Danio rerio: one gene and its partners. The protein of the gene in region 1 binds, or shares a complex with, the protein of each later gene. Links are inferred from orthologs where the notes say so. Each region holds a gene or a part of one and is shown on either strand. Other genes may lie near its edges.

The links.
Region 2: exosc2 (region 1) and exosc4 share a complex: the UniProt entries of both Homo sapiens proteins name them as parts of the RNA exosome core complex. The link is inferred for Danio rerio from reciprocal best matches to the Homo sapiens genes EXOSC2 and EXOSC4.
Region 3: exosc2 (region 1) and exosc6 share a complex: the UniProt entries of both Homo sapiens proteins name them as parts of the RNA exosome core complex. The link is inferred for Danio rerio from reciprocal best matches to the Homo sapiens genes EXOSC2 and EXOSC6.
Region 4: exosc2 (region 1) and exosc3 share a complex: the UniProt entries of both Homo sapiens proteins name them as parts of the RNA exosome core complex. The link is inferred for Danio rerio from reciprocal best matches to the Homo sapiens genes EXOSC2 and EXOSC3.
Region 5: exosc2 (region 1) and exosc5 share a complex: the UniProt entries of both Homo sapiens proteins name them as parts of the RNA exosome core complex. The link is inferred for Danio rerio from reciprocal best matches to the Homo sapiens genes EXOSC2 and EXOSC5.

What each region holds. Positions count from the first base shown.
Region 1 is NC_133180.1:78,503,442-78,509,838, reverse strand, and holds the start of exosc2 (exosome complex component RRP4), read right to left. Parts: upstream 3,751-6,397; 5' UTR 3,685-3,750; coding exon 3,557-3,684; intron 1,150-3,556; coding exon 1,048-1,149; intron 804-1,047; coding exon 758-803; intron 650-757; coding exon 560-649; intron 1-559. Other genes in the region: spra (sepiapterin reductase a), read left to right, coding at 4,548-4,851. UniProt on the Homo sapiens protein: Non-catalytic component of the RNA exosome complex which has 3'->5' exoribonuclease activity and participates in a multitude of cellular RNA processing and degradation events.
Region 2 is NC_133177.1:2,082,605-2,089,233, reverse strand, and holds the start of exosc4 (exosome complex component RRP41), read right to left. Parts: upstream 4,171-6,629; 5' UTR 4,116-4,170; coding exon 3,945-4,115; intron 1,845-3,944; coding exon 1,638-1,844; intron 1-1,637. UniProt on the Homo sapiens protein: Non-catalytic component of the RNA exosome complex which has 3'->5' exoribonuclease activity and participates in a multitude of cellular RNA processing and degradation events.
Region 3 is NC_133182.1:29,203,330-29,208,611, forward strand, and holds exosc6 (exosome complex component MTR3), read right to left. Parts: upstream 2,463-5,282; coding exon 1,647-2,462; 3' UTR 1,522-1,646; downstream 1-1,521. Other genes in the region: slc38a8b (putative sodium-coupled neutral amino acid transporter 8), read left to right, coding at 2,206-2,615, 3,389-3,450. UniProt on the Homo sapiens protein: Non-catalytic component of the RNA exosome complex which has 3'->5' exoribonuclease activity and participates in a multitude of cellular RNA processing and degradation events.
Region 4 is NC_133189.1:58,543,739-58,550,184, forward strand, and holds exosc3 (exosome complex component RRP40), read right to left. Parts: upstream 4,221-6,446; 5' UTR 4,210-4,220; coding exon of another isoform or gene 3,976-4,209; 5' UTR 3,464-3,975; intron 3,269-3,463; 5' UTR 2,583-3,268; coding exon 2,310-2,582; intron 1,857-2,309; coding exon 1,705-1,856; intron 520-1,704; coding exon 312-519; 3' UTR 144-311; downstream 1-143. Other genes in the region: tcerg1a (transcription elongation regulator 1a), read left to right, coding at 4,925-4,971. UniProt on the Homo sapiens protein: Non-catalytic component of the RNA exosome complex which has 3'->5' exoribonuclease activity and participates in a multitude of cellular RNA processing and degradation events.
Region 5 is NC_133193.1:38,982,855-38,989,237, forward strand, and holds the start of exosc5 (exosome complex component RRP46), read right to left. Parts: upstream 3,787-6,383; 5' UTR 3,783-3,786; coding exon 3,653-3,782; intron 3,514-3,652; coding exon 3,400-3,513; intron 942-3,399; coding exon 820-941; intron 1-819. Other genes in the region: bckdha (2-oxoisovalerate dehydrogenase subunit alpha, mitochondrial), read left to right, coding at 4,093-4,206. UniProt on the Homo sapiens protein: Non-catalytic component of the RNA exosome complex which has 3'->5' exoribonuclease activity and participates in a multitude of cellular RNA processing and degradation events.

The DNA of each region.
Region 1 (6,397 bases):
GTTGTGGTGATTCTACAGTTGCTATGGTAACACAACAACTATAGTAATTGATCTTTTGTGCTGATTCTACAGTTGCTATGGTAACACAACCACAATAGTCATTGATCTGTTGTGGCCATTCTACAGTTGCTATGGTAGCACAACCTCAATAGTAATTGATCTGTTGTGGTGATTCTACAGTTGCTATGGTAACACAAACACAAAAGTAATTGTTCTGTTGTGGTGATTTTACAGTTGCTATGGTAACAAAACAACTACAGTAATTGATCTGTTGTGGTGATTCTACAGTTGCTATGGTAACACAACAACTATAGTAATTGATCTGTTGTGGCCATTCTACAGTTGCTATGGTAACACAACCACAATAGTAATTGCTCTGATGTGGTAATTCTACAGTTGCTATGGTAACACAACAACTATAATAATATAAACAAACAAGCCAACTGCGGGGTATTTATCAGTCCACTATAGTTAATGGTAGAGAGTGCGGGAGCATTCATTAAAGTATTGTAACTGAGTTGTGTGTGAACTGCCCCTTGAATGCGTGTTGCCAGCTCACCAGCTCTCCTCCAGGCAGATTGACCGCCGACAGCAGCAGCACTGAATCCAGACGCGAGTTAGTCTCCACTTTCCATCGCTTCTGCTGCACCTTAACATTTAGAGATGCACATCATCATCATCATCATCATCATCATCATCATCATCATCAACAACAACAACGAGAGATTTTATACATAAACTACTGAACACCACTGACCTCAGTGATTCTGCCCACAACCACATCACCCACCTCTCCGTTATACCTGCAGGAGGAGAACATCACATCTAGAACACAGTATTACCACAGCATTATACATTAGTGAAGTGCAGTGTGCTATACTGTAGTGCACAGGTCTCTAACTCCTGGAGGGCCGCAGCTCTGCACAGTTTTGCTCCAAGCCAATCAAACACAGTTGATCAGGGTTGGGGCACATTGTGCAGAGCTGCGGCCCTCCAGGAATTTAGTTTGAGACCTGTGCTGTGGCGTTAGTGTAAGTCAGTGTGCACCTGGTCTTCAGCGGTTTCACACAGATGAGTTTGTTGACTCGCTCCACCTGTCCTGCCACTGAAGCGGTGAGTCTGTCTTCATCCATGTAGGTGCCGTGACCCCTGAGGACGAGGTGAAGTCAGATGAAAACGGTTTTTATCTTCGCACAATTGGAATTTCACATTCAATAAGACAGTAAAGCAAAATTTAAAGGGCTCTTGTTTCACCCCAGCGATGATGGATTGACCGGCACATTTATATGCTCTTTCTACTAATTAATTAAAGCCTTTGCTTTGGATGTATAATGAATGCATTGATCTAAAATTTAGATAATTAGCGTGCAATCACGCTCATCACTATTGACAATAAAATTTTAGCCTTGATATTTGCTAACAGATTAAAGATTTCAGCTGATTGCTGAAACACAGTCCGGCTTTGTAGGAGCTAGACACATCAGTAATAATATTACAGTTTTTTAGACCTTTTCGATTATGCAGACTATAAACATCACAAGCTATGATTCTATTCCTAGACTGCTATAAAACATTTATTAAGCCATATTAACATTGCTGTTTAAGCTTGACTTTCATGTTTGGCCATTTCTAAATGGATGTGAAAAATACTTTAATAATCACACACAAGTTCTCACCATGAGCTCAGGTTTATTATTTCAGATATAGACACGCAAGAGTGCACGCAAAAAGAGAAAGTTGGGGCACTCGGAAATTAATTAATAGTTAATTTTGTTACAGATTTTTAGTAAAACATTTACACTTCTGCTTTTGACAGATAATGTAAGGATTGTTTTTGTAAATAAAATGGAAACGCATGATCCAGTTCTGAATTTAATATACTCTGATTCCAATTTGACCTTGGAGAAAGTTCGAATCGTCCATGAAGAAAGGTAAATCTCCCAGCAATGATGGATTATCCGTCAAGATTGGTATGCTCTTTCCACAAATTAATTAAAAACCCTTTGCTTTGGATGTATAATGAATGCATTGATCTAATAGACAAGACAAGACATCATCAATGAAACGAGGTGTTCCCAAACCGATAATTGGTGTCCATCACGCTCATCACTGTTGACGATAAATTTATTTTTGATATTTCCTAACAGATTAAAGATAAAGAATCAGTCAGCTGATTGTGGAGACACAGTCCGGCTTTGTAAGAGCTAGACACATCAGTAATAATATTAGACTTGTCTTGGACCTTTTAGATTTTGAGCAATTCCATGCAAATGTCAACCTTGCCATAAAATAAACAAATACATTCTTCACAAAAACACCAAACCCTTTCCCGGTGTTTTGAGTAGGCTTGTATTTTACAGCACTGTTAAAATGTCACATCCATAATGCATAATCGCTCTCATGCAGACTTTATCCTATCATTACAACTCTATGATACTAGTCCCTGACGTTTATAAAGCATGGACTTCTTATGCAGACTGTGAAGTTCTGTTTTGGTGACTTTGTTAGTCAATGCTATTGAAATGTTTTACTGGCACATTAGAGGTTCTGTTTTAACCCATTAACAATCAACGTCTCAGTGGCAGGACGATTAAGTTTAATTCACTATACTGCATTTAAATACTAATCTAATCATGACAAACTATATAATCGCTGGAAAGGCCATTTAAACAAGTTTTAATCCTTAACCCTACAACCTGTGGGAATGTTTGCGGTTGCATTTTTAAAGCATAATATTACAGTCTAAACATAGAGCACTTTTATCAAATAATATATCATTTAAAATCTTTCTAGTATTTATATCTGATGACTGATTTTTCAGAGTTGTGAAGCATTACTTTGCTACAGCAATCCACAATTGAGGTAAAGTGGGTTTTATATTGGCACATTCAGACTTTCTTCTTAATAATACAGTTTCAAAAAAGTAATCTTTACAAATTTTAATAATGAACTCATATCAGCAGCCAATGACTATCAGAGTACAACATTGTTTACAGTCAATTAAATAGTGCTGATGTTGTTTTTAAGTCAAACTACATGCGATTTCAGACCGAATACTCAAAGTACAATACAGGCAACGTGTCACAAGTTATCACCGTTCAAAAATGAACGAACGTGCAAATACAAACCAACTTTACCTCAATCAATACACATGTAAATAATGTATTTTAAAAGTAACGTAACGCGTCACCGTAAAAAGTAACGCAACTAGTTACTTTCCAGAAGAGTCTGTCAGTAAAGTAACTTTCTCCAACACTGAACAAATACACTACATACACTAACTTGAGTTCTCAATCAAGTCCGCTACAGACTGACAGACTGCAGGTCTCAACGAGTTCACTCCACACACACACACACACACACACACACACACACACACACACACACACACACACACACACACACACACACACACACACACACACACACACACACACACACACACACACACACACACACACACACACACACACACACACACACACACACACACACACACACACACACATTTATTCTACAACAGCTCAGTTAATACCAGTTATTAATGTCTGTGTACCTCATGAAGCCCGTGTCGGAGGTGATCACATCTCCAGGCACAACCAGGTGTTTGTCTTCGCGGGAACTCTGTCCTGTTTTCAGGGAAACGTGTTTGTGAACCGCTGGAAGCCGCATCTCCACCGCCATGCTTCAACAACACTATAGCCGGGCAATATGGCGGCGAGCACGGCTCCACTTCATAATAAAAGCCCGACTGTGTTCGTGTTCGGTTTGAGCATCTAATCATCTGAATTTGGTCATTAAATAACGATTTAAGTTCGTGTTATACAATGTGTGAGGTTTTATTTTGTAACGAGAATTAAGAGACTTTTTATATTTAACATTTTAAATGACAATATAGCAAAACTTTAATACATTAAAACATTAAGTTAACATTATATGCTCTAACAAAATAATTTTATACTTTTCAGAACCAATTTGCTTTCTACATTTATTTTTGTTATTCTTTTATTGTGTAAACACAGGTTCTTAAAAGAATGAGATTATATAAATAATCATGTATTATTATGTTTATTATTATTATTATTATTATTATATTTATTATTATATTTGTTACTATTTACACATTTTCATACACCTAAATATCTTTTATGTATTGTTTTATTGTGTGAATTGATCTCGTGGCCTAGATATTTACTGTATCTAGTAAATTGTTTAAATTTGTATATATTTATTAATATAAATTTGTATAGATTTATTGTATATATATTTATCACTGTTCTGATTCTTTAATTATTTCTTGATGTTTTTAGCATTCTTTTAACCCCATTTACAGTATTGTTTGTTATTTTCACTCATTTGTCTATTGTTTTGTTTTATATTTACTCTTTTGTGTATTCCTGGAGTCATAAATTTTCTATTTCACAGTTTATTATTTTATTAATAAACCATAAAGTGGGCGGGGTCTCTCGTGTCTTCCGGAGGCGTGACTAATCGATGCTGAACTCTCCGGTTCTTCGGCAGCTCTTCTCGTCAGTCCTTGGGGAATCATGAGCACGGCTTCGGGATTCGGGAAAGCACTGGTCATCATCACCGGGGCATCCCGGGGCTTCGGCCGAGCTCTGGCTCTGTCGGTGGCGGCACGTGTATCTCCGGGCTCAGTACTGGTGCTCGCGGCTCGGTCGGAGGAGCAGCTGCTGGAGCTGAAGAGCGCGCTGACCCGCGGGGAGACCGGCCTCACCGTCCGCTGCGTCCCGGTGGATTTGGGCTGTGAAGCAGGAGTGGAAAAACTCATTGCCGAGACCAGAGATATCCAGCCGGACATCCAGCACCTGCTGCTCTTCCATAACGCCGGTCAGAGAACACTCAACGTTCCCTTAACGTTAGATTTTGATTCCTGTTAACGTTAGTTTTTTAAAGCCAAAGATAACGTTTTGCGAATTCTTTTTAGATTTAACTTTTTTTCCAACCATAAAACAACTTTCCCAGAACTTCAAGAGGGGACACGTAAAAAAAAAAAACAAAAAAAAAAACATACATAACCTTTATGATTTGATTTGTTTTGTATGTTTGATGTTTGTTTTCATGTAATTCATGAGCTATATTTTGCAGAATTACAGAACTAAATTTGTAAATACAGCATTTATGAAAATTTTAAATTAATCAAGATGTGGAATAATTAGTTAAATATTAAAATAGTCATAAATGATTTACTCAGTAATAATGAGGAACGTTAGATGGCATCAAAACCTCACATTTATTTGAATTTCTGTTCTGCGCGCCTAAATTCTAACGGTCAAAACCTTCATTTAAAAATCAACCGTCGTTTTGTAACGGCCTGACTCACTATAGCTATACTTTCTCGTCTTGTTATCGAATAATTCCATGTAACGTAAAATTTATTTTTTATTATTGAATACCTGACATAAGGTGAGCCTAACGTAACGTGAAACCGCTTGTCTACAGACCAAAGAGAAAGGCATGTCTAAACCTCAGTTCAGTGGTAAGCATTCAATGTATAATATATCCTTTGTTATCTCAATGGTTTGTTGATGTGATTGTTTCGGTTGTTTATGTCTGTGGATACATTTAGTGTTGTATAGAGATTGTTTTGAAATCATTACTTGGTGTGAGGAAACGTAACATCTCTGTAAAGTTAAATGTTACCCCGTGATGAAATAACTTAAACCTTGCACAAGGAAGGACAACAAATGTTCCTAAAGTGCTTGAGTTTTATAAGTGCTGGACTAAGATCTCTTCCATATATATATTTATATATACATCTAAATATATTTCTTTATATATTTTGCCAAAAGAGTAAACCTGTTTCTGCGTTTTTTGTGTGTGTGTGTTTGTATTTTACAGTGCTTTAAAAATACTCAAAAATGTAATTGTCTGTGTTTTCAAACTATTATATTTGATTTACCAAAGTCACATTGCTCATCCGTCACATCCATAATGGAGAGATGTCACATCCATAACAAAGCTTTTTCCTCATAAATGCAAAAATCTAAAACCAAATAAAATCAATCATGGTTGTTCTATAGTGAGCCAACTCTTATCCTTTTGATTGCAGTTTAATTCACAGAATTTCTACAAAGTATGTTGTATACTGCAAACTTGGACTTTTTTTGTCACATCCATAACGCATGTATATTTCCCTAATTTAAAATATAAAATTGGTATTTTTCTGCTCCCACAACTCTGGCCATGTTGTTTTGAAAAATATAAACATATGTTTCAATATAATGTTAACATATACTTCCTCTGTCGATTTATGTTTTGAGATTTTACTGCAAATGTCACATCCATAACGCTGGAACTGCTGGAACTTTTACTCCATAACTTTTCTGTTCTCTAACTCCGTGTTTCCCAACTCTGTTCCTGAAGGCACACAAAC
Region 2 (6,629 bases), on another chromosome or scaffold:
TTGGGTTGGTGGATAGTTGGATAGTTGGGTGGGTGCATGAATAGAGTTAGGTGGGTGGATGGATGAATAATTGGGTGTGTGGATGGATGGGTAGTTAGGTGGATGAATGCAGGATGCATGTATGATGGATAGTTGGGTGGGTCCATGGATGGAGTTGAGTGGGTGGTTGGATGTATAGTTGGGTGGTTGGATGTATAGTTGGGTGGGTGCATGAATGGAGTTGGATGGGTGAATGGATAGTTGGGTGGGTGTATGGATGGATAGTTGGGTGGATGGATGCAGAGATGGATGGATGGATGGATGGGTAGTTGAATGGATAGTTGGGTGGATAGATGGATGGATAGTTGGGTGGGTGCATGGATGGATAGTTGGGTGGGTGCACAAATGAATTTGGGTTGGTGGATAGTTGGATAGTTGGGTGCATGAATAGAGTTAGGTGGGTGGATGGATGAATAATTGGGTGCGTGGATGGATGGATAGATGGATAGTTGGGTATGTGGATGGATAGGAAGGTGGGTGTATGCTGGATGGAAAGATAGTTGGATGGGTGCATGGATGGAGTTAGGTGGTTGGTGGGATGGAAAGTTGGTGGTTGGATGGATGAATAGTCGGATGGATGATGGATAGTCAGATGGAGGATGGAAAGTCGGATGGATGAATAGTTGGGTGGGTGCATGAATGGAGTTGGGTGGGTAGACGGATGGATAACTGGGTGCGTGGATGGATAGTTGGGTGGATGGATAGATAGATGGATAGTTGGGTACGTGGATGGATGGGTAGGTGGGTGTATGCTGGATGAATGAATAGTTGGGGAATGCATAGATGGATGGACTGTTGGGTGGGTAAATGCATGGATGGATAATTAATTGGGTGGATGAATGGTTGGATCGATAGTTGGGTGGGTGGATGAGTTGATTGACAGTGGGGTGTATACATGGATGGATGGATATTTATGTGGATGCATGGACAGTTGGGTGGATGAATGGTTGGATCGACTGTTGGGTGGATGGATGCATGAATGGATTGTTGGGTGGGTGGATGGACTGTTGGGTGGGTAGATGAAGGGTAGGATTGATAGCTTGGTGATTTTATGGTTGGGTGGGTGGATGGATGAATGGATAGATAGTTGGGCGGATGCATGAAGGGATGGATAACTGGGTGGATGCATGGATTGATGGCTGAATAAATGCATGGATTGATAGTGGTGTGGGTGGATGGATGAATTTCCAGATAGAATCCAGGGAGGATGTATGGTTGGACATATGACCAACTGAGCAGATGGATGAGTGGATGAACAGATGAAGGCTTGGACGGATGTGCTTGAATGATGATGGACGGATCGATTCATGCATGGATCACTGGATGTTAAGATGTGTACAAATATGTGAATTAACTTATGCATGGATGGATGCACAGATGGATGCATGTGTGGATGATTTGGTATACGTTTTTAAAAACATCCAAAGTGCACTCAGTATCAATATACAATATGATTTACGGTGATGGATGAATGAAAGCACAGATGCATGGGGGCATTTAAGAATAGATCAACGACTGATGCAGAGATTGGTGGATGCAAAATTGGGCAGGTGAGTGGATGGATGATAAACGGCATGAACGTAAAGAAGTCCATGTACCTTGACGTAGATGTCGATTTGTGAGCGTGGGTAGAGCTCAGTGAGCACCGCAGCCTCAAAGGTCTGTTTGAGGTGGAGGCTCATCTCGCTGGACTTCCGGTCTCCGTGTGGACGTCTCTTCCTCTCCGCCGTGCTGAACGTGGCCATGCTGTACTGACAGTTGATGATGGCGCGATCATGCAAGGATTTACTGCGAGAGCCTCGAATCTACAGGGACAAAGATGAACTCCAACATGTTATTCAGTTAAACGATGATAAAATATTGGATGTTACACATAACCGACACGTTGGACAACGTTACTGCAGAGATTCTGGCCTGAGTGTTTTGTAATAATTATTGTCTATTATTCACAGCACCATTTTAATCAATTATATTAGACAGTTTAACTAATTAAGAATTATATTATTATATTGAATCCACGAATACTTAAAAACATACGGAAATGTGTTGTTCTTGTTTTAATTTATTTTAAAAATAATAACAAATGAGATCCCACTGACATTCTGACCACTGACAGAGAAAATATTCCCAGTTTCATATATAGTCCTGCTGAAAAATCCAGCTTGAACCAGCCTAGGATAAAGTGCTAATAATTTTGACTTCAACTGATAATCGTTTTGAATAATCGTGATTACAATTATGACCAAAATAATCGTGATTATGATTTTTTCCAAAATCGAGCAGCCCTAGCTAAGACCAGGCTGGAAATGGCTGGAAGTGGCCAAAAACCCACTAAAACCAGCCTGGTCGACCAGTTAAATCCAGCCAACCATCCTAGGCTGGTTTAAGCTGGATTTTTCAGCAGGGTATACAGTTATTGGTTAAATACATCATAATACATTCTGATGATGTCTGTGAGATTTATGTGTTTTTTGCAATGACTGTAAAAAATATGGACGACGCGACAGCCCTTTTTCCCATTGAACGCCTTGAGGGCAAAACGCCTGCTTGACGGGCACAAACTGTCGCAAAAGACTGCTGAAATTGGAGCCAGACATGCGCAGAAGGACTGTCTGATGGAGCCAGAGGAGGAGCCGCGAAAATGAGCGGAGTCGAGCTTCCAACCAAACGCTTTATGTAAAATCAACCACGCCCCCCGAACTGCTCAGCGTGCGTTTGCTGTCATATCAACACAAATGGATGTAATAACGTTAACAAATATGAGGGTTTTATATATTCAATCGCGCCAGCTCCAGGCCGCAACACATAACTTACTCGCGGCGTCGCGGGCTGATTCCGGCTCACATGCGGCAGCGCCGGCTCGCTCGGCCGCCGCATCTGGCTCGATTGACTCGGGCTGGAATTGGGTAGTGAGTCCAGGCATCCGGAGTAGGTCCAGCAGAGGTAACATTAGTCAGTCTGAGCTCTAAGAGATAAGTCTCCGGCAGGCGAGAATCTAGCCGGAACTGTGTTTTGCTATCTGGGTGGCTAGGCGTGTATCAGCAAACTAATAAAGCCCGAAAAAAGCCCTGAACTTAGCGAATAAACAGTGTTCCACCAGGATCATGTATGTCAGAAACTGTAGTTTACTGCTGAACTCATTTTGTCACGGTAAAATAACACAGAAATCGAATAATAACATTTCAGTCTACTTCAGTCTCCTGCCGAAGCTCAGACGCGCTGCTTTGAGAAACTGTCAATCACAGCTGTCAATCACGATGACACGCCCAGCATTAAATTACTGCTAAAAACAAACTGTTTACAAAAATGAGGATCTGCACCTATTTCAGCACAATAACCAGTGCCTTAATCGACCAGAACTATCTTTCGGGACATTTTATTGCAAGTGTAATATTTTTTTTTTATTTGGGCTCAAGTCTCCTTCATTAACACGGAGGAGGCGGGCTTTATGACTTGTACTGCAGCCAGCCCCCAGGGGGCGATCTAACGGCCGAAACCTTCACTCAAAGGTAGGCTTGCGGCACACTTGGTTTTTTGTGTTACACTGTAAATTTTTTATACACGAAAAATAAGTTTATACAAACAATACCTATTTTTAATACTTTCCTTGTTGAAATTTCGTACAATATTGAATCTCTTAAGCTTATTAATAATAATAAGTTTCTTAAAGCTTATGACAATCTTTTTTCTTGATTGATGCTGTGTTTTTTATTTCTCTCTCTCCTTTCTTATTTTTTGTTATTGTATTTTTTCTTCAATGCAGTGATTTTATTATTCTTGTAACGTTATTCAATAAAAAAAGAGATTTATGTGTGTCGCATTTTATTATTAGCATGTCCTCATAATTCACCATATCATTGTAATACCTGTAACGTTATCATACCCAAGACATCACAAACACACACCTCATGTGGCCCATACACCACGGCCAGAGCTTTAGTGTTGCCCTGCTCCAGATAAGCAGACCCGTCGGCCTGCGCGAACACACTCATGCGGGCCTGCACCTTCCGCAGCTCGGTCGCTTTCCGTCCGTCAAGTCGGTAACCCTGATCCGACAGCAGCTCCAGACCCGCCATATCTCTCCGCTTCTTAACTGAAAACACGCGTGTGTGTGATGAACTTCTTCTTGTTGTTCCGCACAGGTCTTCTTCTGCTGTGGATTTTGCTTTCCTTGTGTATCTTCTACCGCCATCTGCTGGATTAATTTGAGTTCTCACTAATGCGAGTAATCCTCATACTGTATTTTAGGTTGTTCTCTAGATGGCAGAGTTAGCTTACTTATGTTAAACCCAATCTTTGAATATTTGTAGCTTCTTATTGTTGTTTTAAAGCACATTAAGACTAACATATTCACACTAACACCTTTAATAGTGTACATGCAGCAGGACTTTTAATTTTTAGTAACCCAGTACAAGCGCTTCCAATGAACTGCTGTTACAAAATCGCAGCGTTTTAGATCTGTTTTCCTTTAAAAAATCAATTATAATGATTTACAATGTAAATTGGGTCTCAGAATTAACAAGAAACAATGCATTAAAATAACATTGTTCTGTAGTCTTTATAGGGACTTTTATTTTACTTCAGGATTTATAATGGAGTTTCTGCGCTCGCCTGCTGCTCAAGACAGTGTTTGATTTGTCAGCTTTTCATCTTATTTTAGGCTTCAACAACTAAATGAATGCTTAAATATGTTTAACCAGTTATATTTTAATGACATTACAACATCGATGCTGTAAAAGGAACTGTATGAAATAAAAAATAGTCACATTAACATTTCACCAGAAGTTTATCGGTAGCCGAAAACACTAGCTGTGCATTATAGCCTATTTTGATTTTACAGGGACTTTAATACAGCAGTTTCCCTCATAGAATCATCATTCTCCAGTCTTAATCAGCACGGTGGTATGAATAAATCAGCACAGAATTCAATAAAAAGAGAAAAGGTAGATTTTTCCTGTACGGCACAAATCAATGTGGCCCAAAATATAGGAAAGTTGGCAACTCTAGAGCGAGTGTCAGCCCTCATTTCTTCTCAAAGGTGTAAAACCAGACTCTGGTCAATAAAAGCCTGTATTGAGAGTGATATGGATGATACGTTTCACTGGGAAAGTTCCCACCAAACCTGTTTTCACTAGACAGCAGCTGTGAGAATCATGTGCATGAAATAAACATCCAACATAGGCTCATTCTGAAAACGTAGCCCTGTATACACTTCTGGAGATCGCAAATTATATAGCCAGCAGAGGGGGGTAGTAACAAATTACATTTACTTCATTACATTTAATTCAGTAAAATTGTTGGGTACTTTTTGAGAACATTTAAAAATTTTTACTTTTACTCTTACTCAAGTAAATTATAAGAGAGAAATCATTATGCCGTGTTTACACCAGACGCGGAATGCGCGGATAAATTGCGCTATTTGCGTGTAAATAGCCGCGTGAACATTTGAGTTTACTCGCTTCATTCGCGCGTCAAATCCGCTTCATTCGCATGTCAAATTCAATTCAACAGACGCGGATTCCCGTGATGGGCAGGGCTTCTTTCTGCCCGGTGACTAGCTTCATAGCTAAATGGCTAACATAGATTGTATGAAGAAAATAACAGTGTTTATGTGTTTTATGAAGACTGAAAAACAGCGTCGATACGTTTCTGAGTCCACTAGTTTCTTTCAGACGTGCATCCAGTTCTGTGAGCTCATAAACTTCTCCAGAAACTGAACCTGGATGACGGAGGCTTTCAGCGGTGCTTCTGACTGAGCCCAGCCCAATTTGATGACTTTTTGTCGGTGTCTGATTGGTTAACGCGGCGCGAATGTCCGCTGAAGCTCAGATTTTCGAACTCGAGTGATTCGCGCAAAACGTGCGCCAAGCGCGTCTAATGCACAAAACGCTCAAATTGCAGCACGCCATTCGCGCGTATCGTGCCATTCGCGCAATTCGCGTCATTCGCGCCGCACCTTTCGCACGTATCGCGCTGCAGGATGTCTATTGGTGCGTTTGTATTTACTTAACATGCAAATCACTCGCGCTTGATACGTGTTCGGCGTCTGGTGTGAACGCAGCATCACTCTTACTTCGCTACATTTGGCGGCGTTCCTCCGCTACTGTCAAATGATAATGAATATAATTGATATGACTTCTTAGCAAATATCACGAGGCGCCGCATTGGAGAGGTTGTGTGGCGAGAGGTTGCTGTAGAGATGCGTCTCCCGCTTCCTGTTGCGCGCGCCAGCCTATATTGGAATTATTGGTTGCAATGGCTAAAGGCGAGAAAGACGTGTGAGTTGGTTTATACTTTGGTCACGCCATGACCATCTGTGAGTTTCAAGAAGGATGGTCACGCTGTCTGTGAAGACTAAGTCACCCGTGACCCCAGATTAATAAAGGGACTAAGCCGAAAAGAAAATGAGTTTACTCAATTTTTAAAGTCAACTAACAGCTTGAAAAGCAATGGGTGTACTCACTTTTTTTTTTTTTTAAAGTAAATTCAACTCATTGCTTTTCACAGTGTGAATGAACAACCCTTTCTGCTTTCATCAGACATTACCTATGTTTCCATCAACCTATTTTTATGCACATTTTGGTATTTAT
Region 3 (5,282 bases), on another chromosome or scaffold:
TTATCCATTTAGGTTCGTTTTTGGTTGTTTGTTTTTTTCTAATTGCCAAATTTGTCACTGTTTTGGAGCACACTAGATTACAGATATCATTAAGACTAACATACCGATAGTAACATCTAAACCTTTTTTTTTTTATTACTGATTCATTTTCAGTTCTTTAAACAGGATTCCCACACTTCCACAAACAGCAAATTCAAAGACTTTAAAGTACTTTTTAAAGCACCATTAATTTTAAATAAATCGCTGTTGTAAATCATACACCAACTGTACTTAGTATTTCACTTAGACTTGTTGTTAGATATTTATGCTTAAATGTAGTAATTTTCAAAAATGAATCGTTTTTAACAGTCATGTTTTTTTTTAACAAATCAAATCATTATGTGACAATAAAAGTGATTTGATTTGGATGTTGAAAAAAACTTGAATGTGCATTAATTTGTCAGTTTTATTGTGCAATATTGAAATGAAAGAATTTAAATTTCTCAGTGTTTTGTTCTGTTTTGAATTTATTTGTCTGAAATTCAAGTACTTTTAGGAAGCGTGGTAACCCTGTTTAAAGGGGCAGTTACCTCATAAATAAAAAAAGTGCTGGTTGCTCATACTTGGGTTATCCAAGAAGTAGGTGTCTACTTAATTAAAGATGTCCTATGGTGATTCAAATAATAGTTCTAGTCACGGCCACCAACACAGAGTCTGTGCATCTTGCAGAGATTAAGGTAATATTCTTATAACATTTACTTTCTAGCACAGAACAGTTGATTCATTTCATAGAAACCCAAAGAACCACGGGTATTAACTTGTTTTGCCTGTGTTTTTCAGACTATGAAAGTGCTGCAAGCTACTGACTTGCATTTTACGACTGACCATGGGCAATGGCTTCATCTAAATATCTTAAATATTCTACTAAAGGAAAAAGCCATCTAGACCAGAGATGCCCAAACTACGGCCTGCCATCCTATCTGAGAAGTGAGGGAGAATGATGAAAAGGTTGGTGCCATGCCGCGCGCTTGTCATTTCTAATTTTAATGTAACCTTTTGTTTGTTCATTTAATTGTTGGGTTGCAAAAAAAGCAACTGAAATTAAAAGTTTCACTTAAATGTTGTGCATGAATCACATTTAAAAAAAAAAAAAGTAAGAGTCCTTGATGAGCAAATCAAGTGTCCTGAATATATTCAGCAGTGAACATTATTGTTATAAAGAGGATTGTTTTTTTATTGTAAGATGTTCATTATAAAATGCAAAAAAGATATAATTATTAATGATTTCAGTATTCTTTCAATTTATTTTAAATATTAATAAATAAGGTAATTACCATGGCAACTGTAATGTAATACTTTGGTTTATTTAACTTCAGCTCACCACCTATAATCAACTTTTTTGGCCCCTCATAAGAAAAAGTTTGGGCACCCCTGATCTACACCATGGATGGCATTGAGGGTGCGACAGGAGATTTTCGTTTAGGGGGAAATAATCTGAATACAAAATCAGCAACACCACTGAAATGAACAAATACAAGATCATAGAGGAGATAAAACTGCAGAGGAGTTTATTTAGTTGGTTCGACATTATTACACATTTAAATGTACAAAATTTCAACAATTGTAATCATTTTAACTGTTCTCAAAAAGAAGCGCCAAACAAAAGTCTATTTCTCAGGCGGAGGCGCTTTCTTCTTGACAGCCCGCGTCAGCGCTTGTTGAACCACCGGGTAGAGTTTATGACAGCCGTCCATGCAGGTTCTCATAGCCTCGGTCAGAGTGTCCTCCCGCATCTCCCCGTCCGCATTCAGGCCAGACACCTGATTCAGATTGGGAAGCAGAGCCAAGGTGACGCACCCCTGGTTGTCTCCGTAGCCCTCCTGCCAGCTCCCGCACTCCTCGGCGTATGACGGGTCAACGAGACACGCGTTTCCGCTCTGCCGCAGCGTGCAACCCAAAACAATGTCGTACATCTCGATACCGGCGTCCGCCAGGGCCATCGAAGCGCAGGTCACCGCGTGCGCCAGAACCGAGCCGTCATTCTCCAAAACCATGACATTCACGTCAATCTGAGAGCGCGGGTATCTGTGTAGGCAAACTCCCGGCCGCAAGCTCTCCATCAGAGTGGCGGACAGGTCTCTCTCCTCGCTGCCCTGGATCCAGGCTCCCCGTTTCACGCAGGAAAACGGCGCGAGCCTGAAGTCGCAAACCAGCCGACCGGTTTTCATGTCCGTTTCGTCCCTTCGTTCCGTTTCCTTCGGCCCGTACACCGAGCAGATGATCTTGGTGTTTCCAGCCTCGATGTACGCGGAGCCTTTCGCCTGGCTGACTAGCCCGCAGCGCGCAAACACCGGCCGCACATCTCCGTTCCCGCGGACGCCCTGCCTGCTGCTGGGGGCTTTAGGGGCTTTGTCCGGGGACAGAAAGAGCAACGGGGACTGCGACTCTTCCGGTCCACGAATACGTTTTGTGTCAACCGGCATTTTTAATAAACCCACGTGTTTACGAGAGCATAGCTTACTTTGCAGCGGTGAAACTACTCAGTCTTCCTCGAGGAATCAAATGCTTCGGGATGCTGCAATCAAATGCTGTTTGCGCGCTGCTGCCCTCTGCCGGATAGGGATAACGTGGCAAATGTGCTGTGGCAAAGACATTATGCTTTGTTAGATGTGATGTGCATGTTTTAAAGTCAGGAATGAAATAGTTCATTTGACAGACGTAATGTAGACCTAGTTTAGCCATTTTTCAACACGTTGGATATTACTATTTTGCTGCAGTGTAGATAGTCGAACACTGATGTGACTTGCAGTCTGCAACCATAGCTCAATACACGGTGCTGTTTGTATTATTACTTTTGATAGGCCTGAAGTATGCAGAGAAACATCCTTCACACCATTAATAATGTAAATACCAACTGTTGAAATAATGTGGACATTTTACAATAGCAGCAACACAACGAACAGTCATTTCCCATTGTCAGACAGTCAAGACAGATAATTAAGTTGGACAGAAGACATTTGCCCAATACAGAATCAAAATGATAGCAGTTACACGATACAGCATATAGAAGCAACATAGCAGCACAAATTAACAAACACACACACACACACACACACACACACACACACACACACACACACCATTACACTACTAGCTGGCTAAACTGAAGATGCGAGACAGGATGGATCCATGCATTAATGTTGTTTAGATCAAAAATCTGACTCCACAAAAGTTGTAGCAGAAATCAAGACTCACCTAATCAGTTTTTCAAGCTTCCTTTGTCCAATTTCGGTAAACCATGTTAGTGTTAGGTTAAGTTTGCTGTTTTGCTGACAGGAGTAGCATCATGTTCTCTTCTGCTGCTGTAGCTCATCTGCTTCAAGGTTTGACATGTTGTGTATTCATTCAGAGATGGTCTGCATATCTTGCCTGAAGAGAGTTATTTGACTGTTGCCTTTCAGCTCAAAACAGGTAAATGTCCTCTGACTTCTGCCATCAACAATGCATCACATCCCTTTCCCTCAAAGTCGGCATGACTAAATGCATTGAGTTTTCTACTGTATGTAAATAGCTCGTTTAATTTTTGAGTGGCAGTTGAGTATATACAGTGCTCAGCATAATTGAGTACAGCCCAATTTGAAAATTTGTAATTTTATCCATTTCTCAGTGAATATAGGCAATGAATCCTGGTGCTTTTAAACAAAACAGATTTAATAAACAGAAATATGTATTAAAATAATATATTAGTCACAAAACATATTTAGAAGTTAAAATATTATACAATTAAATTCAAGTGAAACATTAAAAAATTAAATTACAACCTACACAATTTCAACAAAATTTATTTATTTTTTGCTTCTCTTGATTTTTCCTCTTTTTAAAATTTGTATTTAATATTTTTCTGTATCATAAAAAATTTGTTATTTTGTTGGATAGGCTTCAGAACTGACTAATCTATTGTATATGCACAAATATAATATTGTACAGCTTCCTATTACAAATATGAATTTAAAAGAGAGATTTGTGAGGGGTGTACTTATATAAGCTGAGCACTGTAGGTTTAGGCTAATTACAATTGTACAGTCCATGGGCCTCTCTAGCTGGATCTTATAAAAATACTTAATCACAATGAGTGAAACTCATGAAACTTGGCTATATGCAGGGGCGTCGCCAGGGGGAAAAGGTTAGAACGATTAAGAACTATGCAGGGAAGATGCACTCTTTTTGGACCCCCAGAGTTACTATTTGGGGGCCCAATCAAACTGGCAACAAAAAACACCCCAAGCACCCCCATATGTGTGTTTTCTTTTTGGCTTAGTCCCTATATCAATTCAGGGTTGCCACAGCGCAAAAAGGCCAAGTCACTTCATTATTCCGGGGTCGCCACAGTGGAATGAACTGCCAACTTATTCAGTGTATGTTTTATGCAGCGGATGTCCTTCTAGCTGCAACCCATTACTGTGAAACAATGTCCCCCAATGTCCACCACTACGCTCTTCAGTTCGCGACAACACCACATCCGCCACCAATACCAATACATTTAATAAAATAGATTGTATAAATATTGCACAGCATCATAAAGCATGGTTTTCCCAGAGATGGGTTGCGGCTGGAAGGGCATCCGCTGCGTAAAAACCTGCTGGATAAGTTGGCGGTTCACTCCACTGTGGCGACTCCAGACTAATAAAGCGACTAAGCTGACAAGAAAATGAATGAATGAATCAAGCATGGTTTAACATTACAGCAAGTACTTAAAAGTTCAGTATAGGCTAAAGGGTCTAAGAGTTGAGAAGGCCAAATTATTGACCCTTCCATCTATTTTTTAAGACTTCATATTCCTAAATTAATATTAGTTTATAATGCAAACTGTATGCATATTGTATGAATTAAGTGATAAAAGTTCTATTTATCCGTACTCTAAAATTTGAGAAATGCCATAAAAAAGCAAGCTGAAAATTCACAAACAACTTCAGTAATCGAGAGAGACACGTGCCTCGAGTGAGCTCTTCAAACGAGAGTTTGCTCAAAGGGTTCGAAGAGGGTCGTAAAACTAATTAAATTCAGCCACAGCGTTTCACGTCCTTACAAAAATATCCCCGTCCTGCCGTGAATTCCTGCAGTTCTAGACAAATTCGCCACAGAAGCAGCCGCTCCTCTGTCAAATCAAGACAATTCCTCCTAACATGCAACTTCAGAGAAGCAATCATTCTGACTCGGAACCAACCGTTACAAGCGCTAGCAAGTCTGTACAATATTTCACACCTTGCGATGACATTTTAAGGGATCTTACTTGAGACAATCCT
Region 4 (6,446 bases), on another chromosome or scaffold:
CTGGACCACAACAACACTTTCGGTCATTTTTATTTTAGACATTACTAATTTTTTTAACATTCTTCAAAGTATCTTATTTTATATTTAACAAAAAAAACATTTATAACTGACTAAATAAACAACAACAACAACACACACAGGTCGGCTGATTCAGCTGGTTTAATTTTCATACAAAAACTTCCTTGTACAAAAAAAGCAGACAAATAGAAATATCAGAATCAGTGGAGCTCTGAGAGACGACAGTTTTTACCACAGCTCTAGTTATGTGTGTTATTCCCCTCGACAGGCCTCCTGAACAGTGTGTGTGTGTGTTATATTCCTCCGTCCGCCACTCTGCTGAACAGTGTGTGTCTCTGCGCGGTGCTCATGTTCTCGCTGGCCTCCAGCAGGTTGCTCAGGATCAGTGTGTGTTGGACGGTTCTGGCCTTCACCCACACTCTGCCGTTCATGCCCACCACCATCTCACAGGGGAACATCTTCTCCAGATCCGAAACCAGATCACTTTGTGGAGCCAGCAGCCTACACACACATACACACACACACACACACACACACACAAGCGCTCGATCATCACTAATAACTGCACATTTACATGTTCACTTCTCTAAACTCAGGGCTTTTGCTAGTAACGACAATAGCAGAGTCCACTAAAGGAGATCGAGTCTTCTCATTTATGGCTCCTAAACTCAGGTATAGCCTTCCTGATAATGTCCGAGACTCAGACACACTCTCTCCGCTCAACACTAGAGTAAAGACCCATCTCTATAGTAACACACACACTGCTACACCTAACAGTATGATGCATAAGTGTGCTCCACACAGGTGTGTGTTTTCTAATCAGTACTGTGTGTTGGTGTGCGTTTTCTGATCAGTAGTGTGTGTTTTCTGATCAGTAGTGTGTGTTAGTGTGCATTTTCTGATCAGTAGTGTGTGTTTTCTGATCAGTAGTGTGTGTTAGTGTGCATTTTCTGATCAGTAGTGTGTGTTTTCTGATTAGTAGTGTGTGTTAGTGTGTGTTTTCTGATCAGTAGTGTGTGTTAGTGTGTGTTTTCTGATCAGTAGTGTGTGTTTTCTGATCAGTAGTGTGTGTTAGTGTGCGTTTTCTGATCACTAGTGTGTGTTTTCTGATCAGTAGTGTGTGTTAGTGTGTGTTTTCTGATCAGTAGTGTGTGTTAGTGTGTGTTTTCTGATCAGTAGTGTGTGTTAGTGTGTGTTTTCTGATCAGTAGTGTGTGTTAGTGTGTGTTTTCTGATCAGTAGTGTGTGTTTTCTGATCAGTAGTGTGTGTTTTCTGATCAGTAGTGTGTGTTAGTGTGTGTTTTCTGATCAGTAGTGTGTGTTATAGTGTGTTTTCTGATCAGTAGTGTGTGTTAGTGTGTGTTTTCTGATCAGTAGTGTGTGTTAGTGTGTGTTTTCTGATCAGTAGTGTGTGTTAGTGTGTGTTTTCTGATCAGTAGTGTGTGTTTTCTGATCAGTAGTGTGTGTTTTCTGATCAGTAGTGTGTGTTAGTGTGTGTTTTCTGATCAGTAGTGTGTGCTGGCTTGACCTGTCCTAATACACCAGACACTGTGTTTAAACACTCGTCCGCTTCACAAGTGTGTTTCTATAACTCTTATTTTCCCTGCTGCCTGTGCTGTTGAGTGTGTGTGTGTGTGTGTGTGTGTGTGTGTGTGTGTGTGTGTGTGTGTGTAGCTGTAGGTCAGACCTGCGCACGAGTCCCAGCGACACTTTAAAGAGCAGCCCGTCGCCTCCGAACACACCCATCCCGTTGGCTCTCCCGCAGCTGTCGATACACACCAGCTCCGGCTCCATGTCCTTGTTGGCGATGGTGAACTGCCCGAACACCAGATCTCCAACCTGGAGGAGCAAACAGCAGCGTTAGGAGGACTCATACACACCGAACACGACTTTGCTGGGTTGTTTTCCTCCACTCTGGGTTGATGTCGAGTCTTCATTTGTCCTCTTTCTCTGTGTTTCAGTAAATGTGATGATTTCTGCTGAATAATCTGAGTCTGACACACATTATGGGGAAATGCTGTGAGAGTTTTCATAACTCATCAACACACTGTTCACACTGTGTGTGTGTGTGTGTGTGTGTGTGTGTGTGTGTGTGTGTTCACACTGACTCTGCTTGGTTATGTTGTCTGTTGTTGCTCCATTCACTTCCATTATAATCACAGTTATTGACGGTGAAGCCCTGACAGCAGATCATCCTGCATTACTGACTGCTGCTGCTTCCCTGTGGGTCGATCTGTCATTTCACTGTTGATCATGAGTTGTTGCTGCTGGAGTGGCTCTGTCATCATGTACCTGCACGTTGGGTCTGTTCCTCTTGGTGGCTCCTTCAAAGGCCAGGTAGGACAGAGACGCCTGCTCACTTCCTCCAACGTCCACTTTGAAGACGTCTCCAGACTTTGCGGTCACGATGCCGATCACACTCTCACCCTTAGCTGGAACATACTGCAGGAAAGAGCAGAGGTCAGTCCGGAACACCTTCAGCACAGATAGAGGAGCACCACGACACATCCTGACCTGTGCAGTGTTAAAAAGGGCCAGTTCACCCAAACATGAACACTCTGTCATTTATTCACCCTTTACTTGTTCCAGACCCGTTCAGAACACTAATAAGATATTTAGAAAAATGCTGGAAACCTGGAGCCATTGTCTTCCATTTGTTTTTCCTACTATGGAAGTCAATGGTTACCGGTTTTCTGCATTCTTCAAAGTATCTTCTCTTGTGTTTGACAAAAAAAGAAACATGTAAAGGTTTAAAAATACGCTGAGAAAGGGAGTAAATATTCATTCTTGAGTGAACTGACCCTTTAAGATGACTAAAATAAATGATTTATATAGACCAAACGTAGTATACAGCTCTCTATCTCTCTCTCTCTCTCTCTCTCTCTCTCTCTCACTCATATATATATATATTTATTTAGTAGGGTTGGGCGATGTCAACCAATTTGGCAGTAGTGTGTGTTATTGTGTGTTTTCTGCCTAGTAGTGTGTGTGTTAGGTTGGGTTTTCTGCCTAGTGGTGTGTTTTTTTTTTTCCAGTAGTGTGTGTGATTGCGTGTTTTGCCTAGTAGTGTGTTCTAGGTTGTGTTTTCTGCCCAGTAGTGTGTGTTATTGTTTGTTTTCTGCCCAGTAGTGTGTGTTAGAGTGTGTTTTCTGCCCAGTATTGTGTTAACGTGTGTTTTCTGCCCAGTAATGTGTGTGTTCTGCCCAGTATTGTGTGTTATTGTGTGTTTTCTGCCCAGTAATGTGTGTTTTCTGCCCAGTAGTGTGTGTTATTGAGTGTTTTCTGCCCAGTAATGTGTGTTTTCTGCCCAGTAGTGTGTGTTATTGAGTGTTTTCTGCCCAGTAGTGTGTGTTATTGTGTGTTCTGCCCAGTAGTGTGTGTTAGGTTGTGTGTTCTGCCTAGTAGCGTGTGTTATTGTGTGTTTTCTGCCCAGTAGTGTGTGTTACTGTGTGTTCTGCCCAGTAGTGTGTGTTACTGTGTGTTCTGCCCAGTAGTGTGTGTTATTGAGTGTTTTCTGCCCAGTATTGTGTGTTATTGAGTGTTTTCTGCCCAGTAGTGTGTGTTATTGTGTGTTCTGTCCAGTAGTGTGTGTTAGGTTGTGTGTTATGGCTAGTAGTGTGTGTTAGGTTGTGTGTTCTGCCTAGTAGTGTGTGTTATTGTGTGTTTTCTGCCCAGTAGTGTGTGTTATTGTGTGTTCTGTCCAGTAGTGTGTGTTAGGTTGTGTGTTATGGCTAGTAGTGTGTGTTAGGTTGTGTGTTCTGCCTAGTAGTGTGTGTTATTGTGTGTTTTCTGCCCAGTAGTGTGTGGTATTGTGTGTTCTGGCTAGTAGTGTGTGTTAGGTTGTGTGTTATGGCTAGTAGCGTGTGTTATTGTGTGTTTTCTGCCCTGTAGTGTGTGTTAGTGAATTTTCTGAACAATAGTGTGTGCTGGCACATGTTGTGTGTGTGTGTGTTCTGACCCGTCTCTGCTGACAGTTGACCCAGTACATGTTGGGTTGTTTGTGTTTCAGGACTCCTGCTCTACACACACGGATCTCCGCTCCGCTCCGCCGCAGCCCCGGGCCGCAGATCAGCCTGTCCGCTTTCGGGTTCGCGTCTCCGGCTTCAGGAGGACTGAAGGAGAACAGCAGATCGCCTGGAAGAACCACATCTCCTATCCTCTCCAGCAGACTAGTGTGCACTGAGGAGTCCATGATGGAGGAGCGGAAAACACACACAAACACACGTGTCTGAGCACTTCCGGCACGGGGACTCTTATCCTATACAAATTAACTCATTAAAACCTCTCCAACCCTTTATGTCCACAACAGAAATATATTATAAAGATTTTTCTAAAAGCATTCTTAATATCATTCGACACCGGTAACCATCGACATCCATTATAAGAAAATAAATTCTATTGAAGTCAACAGTTAACGTTACTGGTTTCCAACGCTTAAATAACTTGTGTTCAACTGAGACATGGAATTAAACCGGTTTGGGACATGTAACGTTAACGGTTGAGTAAGTGATGGCAGGATTTATTTTAAGGAGATCTACCCCATTTATTAATATTTAGTCTTTGATTGTTTTTAAAAACGAAATATAATTAAATCGTAAAAACAATCAATAAATCAAAAACTGGATAAAGAGAGGGAGAACGTGCTAACATTCCAGCTAACACAAATCTTCCCCTTTAATTTAGGTTATTTTTGGGACTAATTAAACTAAAACTATAACTAAAATAACTTTAACTAAATAGGAACGTTCTGGTAACCAAAACTGTTGGCCAAGTTACTGGACTATACCGAAAAATGCATATTTTTTACCAGTTAAGTTAAATAATTCATACTGGAAATAAAAGTCACGATGTTTCAGAAGTTTGAAAACCGCTGAGCGGGAAATGGGGACTTTTGTGGCATTTCCGTTATGGCGGAGCACACAGAGGCAGAAGGCATCGGCCTGGCTGCAAACAGGTGCAGTTTTCGCTTTATTTTTCCCTCTCAGATAAACACAGACCCCCGGTTATCATTCGCCTTAGTTTATCCCGAAACTCCTCTGGGCTTCGTCTCCAATAAGGCAGATTTGAGTGGGTTTTAGCCTCGTCTGGCCCGTCGGAGGGTGGACAATGAAAGCAGCACAGCAGCAGTCGCCTCACTGTGTTTATATCGCAGTTTCCGCCGAGAATAAGAGCTTGAGGACACACACCGAGTCTCAGAAATAACCCTGTCAGTGTGTAGAGGGTGTGATGTGGCTGTGAGATCAGCTGGACAGTGTGTTTATGATGGAGTCAGTGCTTCAGATTCAGGTGTACTGTAATGAACACCTTCAGCAATGCAGGAGTCAGTGCAGACACTCCTCCATCATCAGTATCTGGGGTTAAAGTGTGTGTTCTGCTCGTCTTCAGCGTGTTTATGGTGTGTGTGTATCTGTTATTAACAGTGTTGGGGAGAGTTTCTCTCGAAAGTAACGGATTACAGTGTCGCGTTACGGTGTTTTAATGCAGGTGATGTGCTGTGAAAAGGCTGGAACTTTGCTTTTGGCTGAAAATGAGTTGTTGACGCTTTTGGGATATGCAGGATTTCCTTCAACACATGGACATGTTCCTTGAGCCACTTGTGTTTTTTTTAATTGTCACATTGCCAGTTTCCTAACAACAATTATTTGATTTAAGTAATTTTTCCTCAGTGCTACAGTAGAGCTGCACATGATGCTATGATATGACTCGCTGCCTGTCATGTTTATGGTGATATGTATCAGGCATGGGCTGGTATTAGTTTCTGACCGTATGATAACCTTGGACATAAATATCACGGTTTCACAGTATCATGTTATTGTGCTCACTGCTCTGAAATATTTACTTTTTAAATCTCTGGTTAAAAAACTAAACTTTTTTTTCCTTTTTTAATATATATATTCTATTTTGGGAAACATTTAAAATATTTTAGAGCAGTAAACATGTCAGGCTAAATCATTTTAATGAATCATTCACTTCTGCAGTCTTTGTTTTTTTATAAACACTAATATTTTTCCAGTTTAAAACAGAATCTTTGATTATATTTTCTGCTGGAGATACTGCTGTCCTTAAAAACAAAACAAAAATTAATAAAAAAAAAAAAGAAATCTTATTTATACCTTAGGAACGGGATAGCGGAAAATTTTCATGGTTTTAAAACCTTGACTTTCCCAAACCATGGTATACCTTGAGTCGTCCCATGCCAAATATATATATATATATATATATATATATATATATATATATATATATATATATATATATATATATATATACATATATATATATATATATATATATATATATATATATATATATATATATATATATATATATATATATATATATATATACGAGCAATTCCGTGCAAATGTCAACCTTGCCATGAAGAAAATTAAGTTTTCCTCAAAATACCGAAACCGTTTTTTTTTTTTT
Region 5 (6,383 bases), on another chromosome or scaffold:
TATTGAAGCATAACAGCAAATTATAGTAAGGGTGCATAAACACACCATGTTTGCTATGTTTTGAGAGCTGAGATGCTTATTTTAATTTTCTCAGACATATCAAGGTAAGTACGCAAAGGTGCTCTTACACTTGGTTACACTCACACAATACTCTATATAAAAGCCAGAAACTAATGCTTTTTTTACACTGCAACTAATGGCCAACAGTAAAAATTACTAATTGTACCTCTTCTCAAAAGAGAAAAACCACCACCAATCAAGAATGCATAACAATATGGTTTCATGACTTTGCAATCAAAAAAATGTCATTATAATGGAAATCAATAGGGCAAAAACAGCCACTAACATAACGAAAAGGACCAGTGTAGTAAACTTGCCCTGCTGAGTCTATTGTTGAGGTTTTTTTTTTTTTTTTTTTTTAAATTGCAAAAATTTGTCAAAATAAAATGTCACCAAAATCATTCCGCTTGCTGAAACAAGTTGTGGCCAAATTAAGACTCAAAATAACCCCAGAGTGGATGAAAACATTCCTAACAAGCGTTAAAACATAATAAAATTGAAGAGTATTAAAAGAAGCCAATTATTCAAATCTTCAATTTTTTTGTACGTTTAGTCTATATTGCCACTTTTTTCGTTTTAATACATTCATTGTAATAAAACATACTAATCTTTAATACTCAACCCTAAATATTCAAAACAAACTCCTCCCTTCAACGGTAAGTGACTAAAAAGTTCAAACAATAAAACCACGGACACATCATATTTGCCCCCTCTTCATTTTGCATTTATAAAGAAGAGTTTTGCTGGTGTTGAGGATACAGATCCATCATCGTGGACGACCTGCAGGATGACCGTGAGAGAAGAGCGTGGATGAAGGGTCAACAGAAGGGCAGCTTCACAAGTCTCACGGACACACTGCTCTCTCGCTCGCTCGCGGACACCTAACACAACACATCGCACCACAGTATGAGGAAGTTTAAAAAAATACTGTACCAGACTGACACCTAATGCTGAAACATGGCTGTGCAGGCCATGCAATTATAACTATGTTTACTATTCTAGTATGAGCTGTATATGTGTATTATTAAACATTAATAATAATAATAATTAGTAATAATAAAACACTGACTAAATAAAAACAATTTACATAAACGACACACATTTTTTATGGCATAACATTTTCTTCCTGACATGTAGTTTTAAGACTCCCTTTAAACAGTTTATACTCATGTAGGTAATTGTTTCTTATATTATATTAAATAAAAAAGTGACAAACAATTCATATTTATGTTGCATTAGTCTGTGTTATATTGGGTGTAATTAGTAACTAGTAACAAAGTGGCTAGTGTTTGGTCTGGGACATATTAGGTGTAATTAATTACAAAGTAACGTGTTACTGTAATTACTTTTGTACTGAAAATGTAAAGTAGTAGGTTACTTTTCATGGATGGGTAATTTAATTGCAGTTACTTCTAACATACTTGCCTTAAATACTGTAAATAAGTCCAACAGTTTTGAATAAATCAATTCAAAAAAGCAGAAGGAAATGTGTCCAACAACTTCACATACTTAAGAAACAATGAAATGTTTTAGAAATGCATGCCAATATATCAAAATATTAGTCATCTGCATACAGTACAAGCTACTTTTTACTCAGTTAAATTCATTGAACTGAATATAGATTGGATCCATTCAAAATTCAAATGTCTAACATTTTAAGAGAGGCACGTTTTAAGACAAAAAAAAGCAATATGACAATGTTCAAAGGTGATTAGGGGATTTTCTTTTAATAACACTAAACAATTTTGCTATAATAGAACTTTCCTGAAATAACCGAAAAAAGCCAGTGCAGTTTGCTATCTGTAAATTATACATATTTCTGCTTTAAAAAAAAAAAAACTAAATCTTTTTTTTTTTTTTTGAACAAGAAAGATGTTTTATCCCAAACTAACCCAAACTAATGGTGCACACCAGCTGCTTTTCCAGTGCACAACTGGCATAATGCACATAAAAGATTCATGCCTGATATTTGTATATATATTGTATTTTGTTATTTTGTAAAAACTTTAGATTGTTCAAAAGATGTGCAATGCGTTTCTATTATTTAATTATTAATTATCTGTATCAGTCTTTCACATTATAGCTGATATGCTAAATGCAGACAGATTTAAGTTAATCCAACATCAGTGCAATGATAATAATACAAAGCAAAAAATAAATAGATGAATATACATGTAGACATGTAGATCTCACACACTTTTTCATATCGATTTTTTTAAAGAAAATGATTCTGTTCATCAAGGCAGCATTTATTAAGTAAAAAAAAATAAAAAAAATTAATTAATAACTGCTTTCTTATTGTGTGTAGTTTCAAATGAAGTTATTATTCCAGACTTTACTACTTTTATTACTATTACCATTACCCCCATAATAACAGCAATAATAATAACAATTTATATCAGAGCGATTACTGAAAGATCACATGACTCTGAAGACTAAAGGAAGCTGACAATTTATGTGTAAAATCACTGGAATAAATGATTTTATATAAAATATAATTTATTATTTTATAGTGCAATAACATATCACAATTGTCCTATATGTCCTGTATTTTTGTTTAAATAAATGCAGCTTTGGTGAGCAGAACAAGCTTATTTTAAAACATTTAAAAATCCTACTGACCCCAAAATTTTGACCAGTAGTGTAAATGTACAGTTGAAGTCAGAACTATTAACCCCCATTTGATTGTTTTTAAAAATATTTCCCAAATGAAGTTTAACAGATTTCACAGTATGTCTGATAATATTTTTTCTTCTGGAGAAAGTCTTATTTGTTTTATTTCGGCAAGAATAAAAGCAGTTTTTAAATTATTTAAAACAATTTTAAGATCAAAATTATTAGTCTCTTTGTTTTTTTTTTTTTTTTTTTGTTTTTTTTTGTTTTTGATAATCTTCAGAAAAAACTATCGTTATACAATAACTTGCCTAATTATCCTAACCTGCCTAGTTAACCAAATTAACCTAGTTAAGCCTTTAAATGTCACTTTAAGCTGGATAAAAGTGTCTTGAAAAATATCTAGTCAAATATTATTTACTGTCATCATGGCAAAGATAAGATAAATCCATTTTTAGAAATGAGTTATTACAACTAATATGTTTAGAAATGTGTTGAAAAAATCTTTCAAATATGTTGATTTGTTGAAGATAAAGGTAATTTTTTATAAATTTGTAATATTGTCATAACATGACATATAACATTAAATTAATTAAAACTAAACTCCATTCCAATGACGCGATTAAATATATATATTTGCATGTACACGTTTTTATTAAAAAATATTAATAAATAATGCAATTACTGTCAAAATATGGCTGCAAATAAAACTGTTTAAAAACATACTTGGAAGCCCCATTTTGGGCTGTATAAGGACCTCTACAGTTGCCCGATCATATATTTCCTTGCTGACTTTAACCTCAGCTGGTCCATAAACTCCAGCCAGGATACTCGTGTCCCCTAAAAACACATTTACAAATTCAAAACGATACATATTTAAATGAATGGAATAGATCTCTGGATATTCTTTGGCCTGACAGATAAATAACTGCTATGACATGAGTAAAGAAATAAATTACATTAAACATTTATAAATTACCTTGTACAAACGTGGACGACCCGTCAGGTCTTGATAACAAACTCTGTTCACTTCCATATTCTCTTAAAACTGGACAACTTCGCTCCAGCTCCATCTCGGTCCTCATGCACAATCTGCTCGTCGCATCCATAAATGGGTCATTGTTTTGAGCGCACAATAATGACGACATGACACATGTTAGCAGTGCACTTACGCCCTCTAACGGAATTAAGGATGTAATGACACATGTATAGCGACTTTATAAGCACGTTTCTGCTTGTTCCTTTTAGTTATACACACTACCGTGACCCCAATCAAATTTAAAATGTACATAAAAGGATACATTTCTCAGACAAAACCGTAAAAATGAGGAGTAACATTTTTCCTGTAGGGGGCGCAGTGTGTTGGATTTCCAGAGACGAGGAGGGAAAAGACGCTAGAGACACGCACTTGACGTAAAGATGGCGGCTGCTAGAGCTGTGAAGAAATTATATGGCATTGGGCTTCATGCAATTCGTCAAAACACAGCATTAAAAGCAACAACGCTTCTCCAACAAAGGGGATTCCGCGTCAATGTAAGTCTTACGTTTATGGCAGCTGCATATACGCCACCAACGGACTTTTAACATTAGCAAAACTTGCCATTCAGGTTGTATGAAGTGTGTGTAGCCGTGGGAGACCGAAAACATTTCCTAGAATTGTATGAGACTAATATTAACAACATCTGTATAAAGACGTTTTATGCTAGTTTCAAACATAAAAGCTACTGAACTGTCTTAATAATGTAAATGCTAATGTATAAGTTAGGTGTTCCTCATCTGACCTACAAAAGAAATAGTGCTCAATGTCACATGGTCATGATTGTTTTAAATGCAATAACTAGTGGTCAGATGTCTGAAGATTGTTGTAGGTAACAGTTAATGGATCCTTCAACCTTCACATGTCTGTGGATTTATACTCAGAGCTGATTGGCTAGTTGAAGGGGGCGTGTGGATGAAAAAAACAACACTAATCCTGACTGTTATGGGTCATTAAAAAATCTTTACATTTTACAACTTATTTGCATTATTAAATTGTTTCATATTTAAAGTGGATCTTAATTATGAGCTAATGTCTTGTGCACATTTAAATTACAGGTGATAGTAAATTCTTCTCATGCGAATATGTGACTTTATCAATATGCAAACCACATACACACAAATTTAAAGAGAATTAACTTTTTATGCAGTGTACATCCCTAGCTTAGGGTAATTCACTTTATTCCCTGCCAGTTTTTGGGGAAGTTACTTTGACAGGGTATCCACAGAGTCTTAAAATGTTTTACATTTTCAAAATAAAATTTTAGTCCTTAAAAAGTTCTAAATTTGCTGAAATATTGAATTGTAGGTCTTAAATCATTACAAATAGGTTGTAATTTTCTAATATCCATGTAAAGCTTCCCAAATCAGGCCAACACCTGTATACAGTATACACTCACCAATAACACACCCCAATAAAACTTTTAACAAAACTCTATTTAACAATATGGTTCCTCATAATAACTTTTTTATGTTCTCCGGGGATTTGTAGACCATATGTGGCGGGGACACTGACCTTAAAAAGACTATTGTACATTTAGGTTAATAAAGTTTTTAAAGCTTGTCAAAGAAAAGTATGTATGGTTTGCTTGTTTTGACACATTTAAGTATTAAGTAATTAGATTTTTTTTTAATGAGGCAAGCACAAATCTTTACGGTTTAGTCCTGTACAAGTCTGAAATTTCATTCATAAGGGTCTTAAAAAGGTCTTAAAAAGTCTTAAATTTGACTTTGAGAAACCTGTAGAAACCTTGATAACCTACAAAGCTACCCATCAGGACAAGTAGCTAAGCTTCTGTATTGTTTTTTTTTTTTTTTTGTACAGTCAAGTTTCTTCTTATTATCCCTGTTTAATGGCAACTTTTTTGTTAATTTTACTTTTCATTTATTTTTTATTGAACATATAGTAAAGTACAACTTGGCATTATCAATACACCTTTATATTACAAAAAAGGAAACAGGTGCAAATAAAGAACAAATAATTTGTTATATAAAATATCTATAAGTAAATTATTAAACATAACTAAATCTTAAAAAATAAATAAAAAGGACCAGGGGTTTTCCTATAATTTATACATTTCTATTAAAAATAGAAGATTAATTGCACTTTTTGTTTTCATTATCTTGAGAGATTTTTTTATATGAAATAATCTCATTATAAAAAGCACAAAACATTGGTTTCACTTTTAAATATTTTGATTTATGTATGTAAAATTGTCCAAGCATAAGGATGTTGTTAATTAGAAAGGCATTTTCCTTACTGTCCATTGCAAGTCCATAAATGTTGTCATTCACATAAAAGATCCTGAGGTGTGGAATCTTTGGGTAAAGCCAGTCAAACATCTGACCATAAGCCATCCACAAACATACAGTAAAAATAAAACAAATGATCTGCTGTTTTAAAATCATGAAAAAACATACATTTATTAGACTCAAATCCAAATCTAATTCTTAAATATTCACTTGACGGATTATCCCACTTAAAATTTTAAAATGAACTTGAAGTGGAGAGGAAACTTTAGGTATTTAGTTCTAAGTATGTGAATGGTATCTTTAGATAATTTATGAGAAATTGAGTTTCTGTAAAACGCTAGTGGATATATAATGTTGTTAAATAGATTTCTAATCTTTTTTGTTTTTTACATTCACTTTCTTTAAAATCACAGCCTTCGATT